2 linked regions of the Kluyveromyces lactis genome follow. The protein of the gene in region 1 binds, or shares a complex with, the protein of each later gene. Links are inferred from orthologs where the notes say so. Each region holds a gene or a part of one and is shown on either strand. Other genes may lie near its edges.

Evidence for each region. Proteins that work in one complex are often made in the same cells at the same time.
Region 2: STH1 (region 1) and RSC4 share a complex: the UniProt entries of both Saccharomyces cerevisiae proteins name them as parts of the two forms of the RSC complex. The link is inferred for Kluyveromyces lactis from reciprocal best matches to the Saccharomyces cerevisiae genes STH1 and RSC4.

Annotation. Positions count from the first base shown.
Region 1 is NC_006042.1:437,212-440,974, forward strand, and holds the start of STH1 (RSC chromatin remodeling complex ATPase subunit STH1), read right to left. Parts: upstream 2,473-3,763; coding exon 1-2,472. Other genes in the region: RRT14 (Rrt14p), read left to right, coding at 3,127-3,732. UniProt on the Saccharomyces cerevisiae protein: Catalytic component of the chromatin structure-remodeling complex (RSC), which is involved in transcription regulation and nucleosome positioning. RSC is responsible for the transfer of a histone octamer from a nucleosome core particle to naked DNA.
Region 2 is NC_006037.1:259,652-262,921, reverse strand, and holds RSC4 (Rsc4p), read right to left. Parts: upstream 2,296-3,270; coding exon 616-2,295; downstream 1-615. Other genes in the region: REC8 (Rec8p), read left to right, coding at 1-482; MEH1 (Meh1p), read right to left, coding at 2,626-3,057. UniProt on the Saccharomyces cerevisiae protein: Component of the chromatin structure remodeling complex (RSC), which is involved in transcription regulation and nucleosome positioning. RSC is responsible for the transfer of a histone octamer from a nucleosome core particle to naked DNA.

The DNA.
Region 1 (3,763 bases):
CTCTCTCGTTGGGTTGATAACATTTTCAACCTCATCGAAAACGAATGGATGATTACATATCTTCCTTAACTGCATGACCTTGTTGTTCAAACCTTTGATACCAGCCTTGGTTGCACCTTCTGTTCCTGCACCAATAAAGAAAGCATTATGTTTTAACATTTGTTCGTATAGTTGCTGCTGGAGACTTGATAGCTTACATTTCACAACCTTCTCAACTTTGTCAGGTAAATCTTTTTCGACTTCCTTCTTCAAACGACGTAACAAAAATGGACGTAAAACTTTGTGCAATCTTCTAATAACTAGAAGCGTTTCTTCTTCTGTCATTTCTAGCTTTTCTTGAGTACCTGTGTTCGCGAATGGTGTATTAAACCATTCGTCAAATGTTTTTGAGGAATTAAAGATCTTAGGTAAAACAAAATTTAATAGAGCCCACAATTCTGGTAGATTATTTTGCAATGGAGTACCCGTTAAAATTAGCCTATTTTTTGTTTTGTAGTAATGTGTCAACGTGTAAGATAGTTTTGATTGAGCGTTTTTCATTCTATGACCTTCATCGATAATCATATGAGCCCAATCGTGTTTGGCCAACAGTGGACGATCCTTTATAATGTACTCATAAGTAGTTAGAACCACGTCGAAATTTCCCATTTTGATTGTATGTTGCAAAGCCTTACGTTGGTTTGGGTTCCCTTTGTACACAATGGTTCTTAGAGAAGGTGCCCATTTTTCGAATTCTATAGTCCAGTTCGTGATGGTGGATAAAGGGACAATCACCAAAAATGGTTGCCTCTCGTTCTTTATTTCATAAAGATAACTGATCAACGAGATGGATTGAATTGTTTTACCTAGACCCATTTCATCTGCGAGAATACCGTTAAGATGATTATTGTATAGAGACACCATCCACTCTAAACCCTTTAGTTGATACTCTTTCAACGTGCCTCCAACCAATATGCTTGGCTGTTTGTCTACTGTTTCCTTAATTCTGTGGGAAACCTCGTAATAATCAATTTTTTCTCTTTCTTCATCCGTGATTGGAGGAATTTCTTCACCCCTTTTGATGCGTACCTCATTTTGCTGCACTCTAACCGCTTGAGCAAGAGAATCCAAGAAAGAATTAGTTTGTTTCAATAGATGTGTAATTCTTGTATCTTTGGTTTGGTCTAACAATTTCAAATATGCTTCTTCATCATTGGACTTCAAGGCTGCTAAACGTTGCTTGGCAGTTCTTTCCATTCTTCTCTGCTCATCTTTCTCCAAATGACCATGCAAGTTTCCGATAGATCTACCCATTTGATAACAGCGATCACGTTGTGTTGTATCATTCTCCAATCTTTCGTTGATACTTGATACAATATTATTGATCCTTTGTAACCGTAAGTTTCTTTCTCTTCTCCTGCTTTCTACCAATTCCTGCCTTTCAAGTTCTTCTGCTAATCTAGCAGTTTGTGGAACGATGGTCTTCGGTCTAACATGAATGGATCTTTGAGCTGCTAAAGTATAAGGAGAGTCACGGAGAGATGGAATGATATTATGCGATTTAGCTGCAACACTTTCAATCAGCCTCTTTCTCAAAGATTTCTGTTTCGTTAGCATTTTCAAGGACTTGAGCTCCACCAAAGCTCTTAACTTGAAGTCGTCTGCGCCGGTAGGAATATCATCTTTAGTTACAAAATCAAGCGCATCATTTAAAGAATATGTTCCCAAATTAGAGGGTAGATTTTCAAGTTGTTTAATTCTTTTCGCAATGAGTGTGGAGATTATTTTTTCAACCTCCCAATCTCCAAGCGAGGCTTCATTTCCAGATTTAAGACGAAAGTTGCTTAAAGCTTCGGGAAGGCCTAAGCGCACACTTGTTTCGTCGAAATCAACAGAAAGTTTAACCTTCTCCAGTTGTACCGAGATATCAGAACTGTCGGAACTTACTGATTCATCATCATCATCCTCTAAGAGGCCATCCGGTATATTTATATCTTTACTCAAAAGCTGTAAGCTTACCATTTGCTCCTTCAACAACTTTTCGTCCCACTGAATATCTTTGGCTGCGTTTTCTCTTAACCTCAGCAGCCTTTCCTTGTACTCTTCCTGTTTATCCGAGATTTGGGTGAAAATTTGTTCAATAGCCTCAACTTCAAGCTTATTATGATCTCTATATTGAGAAATGTATCTGTAACGATAAATCAAATTTTCTAATTGTTCTTTCGTTTCAGGTAGTGGCAAGATTACTCTTTCCACCTTCTTCATTTCTTCTAGAACAGCGGCAATCTGGTTCTGTCCAATAGCACTACCACTGTCGTTCCGAAAATTGTTGTTGCTTCCTTTGTCAGCACCAACATGGTTGTCTTCGATATTGCCGTTAACGTCCTGGTTTTCAGTTTCGGAATTCCCATTATCAACATTCTCAGAATTCACTATAGGAAGCGGATAAGGAGGCGCTGTATCCGCGTTATTCGTTACGACGACTTGATCCATTGTTGTTTTATTTCACACTTCTTAACGTGATCCAGGTCTCTTCCCGCTAGTGAGCTTTAAACCTTTTTTATTCTGAAAGGGGGTAAAACAATAACTGAAGTCCTGCTAAAAAAATTCAGAGTTGTCACAAAGCTAACGCGATACAAACAGGTACTATTGCCCTAGAATTCTTTACTGTTTCGCTTTCGGTGCGTCTATTTTTTTAGCCGCCGTTGCCGTGTTGAAAACAAACCTCTGTTCGTCCTTTTCTCGTGTCAAAACTAAATTCAGAATAAAATCAAACTGTTTTCAAATTCATCCTCTTTTTCACAATTTTATTTATCGTGTTTACTTTTTTCTTTGACATTCACTATTGCCATGGGCCAAAGTACGGGTAACAACAACAAGAACCGGGTAATAAACCAACTTCGATCACGTGCCAAAATATTCGCATTAAAGTGGGCACCATTGTTTCTTTTCTTGTTTAATATTTCATGACCTAAAATGAAAATTTGGATAATACGCCATGGATGAGATGAGATGAGATTAGATGAGATGTGATGAGAGTGAACTATCAAGTTCCCCGATTGAGATAGTTACAGTGCTTCGAACTGTTACAAAAGTGTCTTCTGTATTGACAATCAAGGTTTGAAGAACTAAAATTCTCTGATTATAATGTCATCTCTTGCAGCTGCTCATGCTACCAACGCTGTGAACGCATTGTTGCAAAGCGTACTGCCGGGTTCTGCGTCGGTTAATGCAGAAAGAAAGAAAACAAGCCGAGACAAAGGCTCGAAAGCACAACTAATAGATAGGAACTTGAAGAAAAGAGTAGAGGTACAAGAAAAGGATGTATACCGGATCAAAAAGAGGGAGAAGAAAATGTTGAGAAAGAAGATATCTGGAAGAAAAGAAGTCCAAGAGGATATAGAACAGAAGGCTAAGCTACAAGTACTAAGAAAGCATCAAGTAGATAATTCTCTTACGGATCATGAGAAATCCTATTTGGATAAAGTGGTGAAGAAAAATGTTCGCAACCTGAAAAGTTGGGATTATGACGATAAGGAAGAACTGTTAGATTTACAGAAACAAATACTTGCCAACTCAGAAGATTCAAAGAAGGTAAGGAAGGTAAAATCTAGGAGACAAAAGAAGAAACAGTTCAAGGAGAAGCTACCACAATCGATACAAGACCACAGATATAAAGCTCTCACACCTGGATTGGCTCCAGTTGGTGCGAGCGATGAGGAGGAATCAGAAGACGAAGATGAAGATTATTGAGCTCATATTTACAAAGACGTACAGGTACGGA
Region 2 (3,270 bases), on another chromosome or scaffold:
GTTTTGGTAGAAGCACAAACAGAAACTATACTGCCAATTCAGACAATCTCGAAAACTTAAGAGGATATCCAAATCGAAGAAGAGGAGCGATAAGAGGAGACAGCGGTTCTGCGGACTACCTTTCAGGATCAGATTCAATTCCACAGACATTTAATGAAAATCAACAGCAGCTTATCGTGCATGATAAGCAGACAGAAAAATTCTTTCAATATATTGTTGAGAGAGGACAACACATAGGTAAAAGAACTGCCGCTTTCCCAGGTTATTCCAGAAAATTCCTTTTTGAAGATATTATCCCAAGTAAGTTAAGTCAGGAAGAAGATGAAGAGATTATACCTGTTACTAAAAGAATTGCCTGTAATGCCTTTTTGTCGCTTTTACAATTGGCTACTTCGAGCAAGTTGAAAATTGATCTTTATAATGTAGAGCCTGAAAAGGTGTTCAGGGTACTAAATGGAGATGATATCATTGTATATTGCTAACTGGATCGAGTGAGAGTGTTTTTTTTTTAATAACTGACGTTCGGTTCTCTTGAGAGTGATTCTTCTTTCAAGCCCCATTTTTTGAGTAAATTTATAGTCTTCATATATTACACTGGAGCTACATAATAGCTAACTAAGGTAATACACTAATCCAGAATTTGGCTGTTTCCAAACGGTCGTTCTCTGAATCTCTTACAGAGAAAGTAACAGTGTTCAGACCTTCTGCCAACTTGATATCGTATCTTGCTTTACTTTCGTCGAATTTATCCCCATCTAATACTGGTATTGGGTTTACTTTATCCTTGTTTGCTATCAAAACTGCAGGGCTATCTTCTGAAACAGGAGAGCTTAATTGTGAAACCACAGTAATTGAATTTTGTTTTGGTGGTAGTGTAATAGCATATTCGTGGCTGGTTTGGGTGAGGGCACCATCTGCGAATATGTATTCGAACCAAGTGATATTGTCGGAATTCTGATACAGTCCCTTCAGTGGTCGTATTGATTGTTCATAAAAACTTCTAGAAGAAGAAATCTGAATCTTTTCTATCACTTTATAAGGCACTGGCTCTGTCTTTGGTTCAATGTTGTGCTTTTTTATAACAGGAAGGATGTTAAATTTCAAGGGAAGTGGTTTATCTGGTTCATTGTTTTCAACTTTCGAGTCTGCAGTTTTACTTGTTTTTGATGGTCCCAAAAGGTAATCTCTAGACATTGGGCCTCGATTATATCCATTTCCTAGTCCCTCTATATAATTGTATTCTTCGTTAGTTTCATCATCATCAGAAAGAATTGGTTCTTCCTCTTCTTCTTCTTGTACGAACTGTTTATATTCAATTTTGTCGTATTCCAGCGTGATTTCTCCTTTTTCTCTAGCAGTTTCTAATTCAGGGAAGAACCTTCTTTGGATCAATACACTAAAACATTTCATCAGCTTCAATGCATCGCTATATATTGTAGTATCTTCGTCATTGAAAACCAATGCGTTTTGAAACGTCAAATTAACATCGGTAATGAAATCGTAGATTTTGTGATAGTATCCAAGTTCTAAGTTATTTTTCACCAAGTTCAATGAGTTAGGTAAACGAATCACTTCTTCATATTCTGGATACTCATCTTTATCTACCAATTCAAGGAACGGTTGGCATATGTTTAAAGTGTCATCCAAGTTGTTGTTAGAAGCCGCTTCTAATTTTACGTCATCATCTTCTGCTAAGATTTCTGCCATCTGTTTATCTGTTACATTGAGTAAAGTGTCAAAGATTGCTATGAAACGTGTCTTCACATCATCGTTAACCAAGAAATTTCTTGTAGCATTTTTTACTTTCAACACTTCATTTTTGATGAAATATACCACTTGTTTCGCATTTTTAACAATAAGAGAATCTGGATCGTTATATGCAAGACAGTTCTTGTAGATCAGTTCACAATCCAATAAGAACTTGGTTTCCCCACCACTATATTCGTAATCCCTGCTTTTAATTTCGTTAATAGAGATCGGTTGATCAATTTTGTAATAGTACTGTGGATGAAACTTCCTACTGGGTAGTTTGATAAAGTGTTTGAATAAAGCCTTGTGAGCTTCAACTAAATTATCCAAAGTAAATGCGATGAACAAATTCAACTTAGGAATAGTCCAATCTAGATCTACAATGAGCTCTTCTGTAGGATCCAAAGGGTGCACATAATCCACTTTGGGTAGAGCGCCGCTTCTAGGACGTTTTCCTGGTGTATATCTTGGTACATAATTCTGTTTTGAATGCTTTTGTTCGGGTTCCTCACTGGGATCTTCTGATCTGCTTCTTTTCACAGCCATAGTATTTGGCGCTTTCCAGTTTGTTTATGCTTTTTTTTTTGCCTCCTCGCTTCCTTGGCTTCTTAAATGAACAAATTTCAGTATATATGCAGCAGTCAAGGCACTTACTCTAACCGTACCTAATTGGCTCCTTTGACAAACCAAAATCGTATACTGCGTATTGTTTTATATGTCTATTCTACAAAGTTTGTATATTTCAATGTTTTCAATAAAGAGAGTGAAAGTACCTTTACAAGATTGAGAAATGTTCAGACGTATATAGTGATATATCGCATTTCAACATTTGGTGAACCCATTTTGAGTGCGCTAATAGTGCAGAAACCTATTGCGTCACGATTCGATATTGGCGACCAATGGCTTGTTATATTCCACGGTAAGGTTTTTCACTAGGTTAGCGAAGTACTTTTTGTGAAATTCTTGAATCGCCTTCCTTGTGTCCTGTTTTATTTTCGAACTGGGAAGTACCGTTAAGGGTACGTCATGTAAAATTTCTCTTTGATCTTGCACATAGCTCGAACCTAAATCGTGTGAGGATGCTACGATACCGCTGTTGCTGATCATACCTATATCTATAAGCTTATCGTTCGTATTATTCACGATTTCGGTCAATTCAAGTTCTCTTGCAAGCACTCTTTCCTTCTGTCGTTGTTCCATTTCGTTATAATCTAATTGGGCTTGTGAGCCGTACCTGTCCTGTTCCTGCAATAACGGGTCATTTTCGTCGCTATCTTGACGAAAGCAGCAACTTAGCACATTTCCCATAATATTTTAAATGTTTTAGGCAGATTTTCGGTAGCTACTGATGCTAGAATTCGTTAGTAAACGTAAACTATCTCATTGCCTTGGTGGCTTTAAGGTAAAGGAACTACACTTACTATAGATGTTGATAAAAAGCACTGGGAAGCATAAATTTCATATTCTAGTATGTGGGTTGTGGGTGTTTTGAATAGGGTAACCCCGTCTTCTTTATCTATC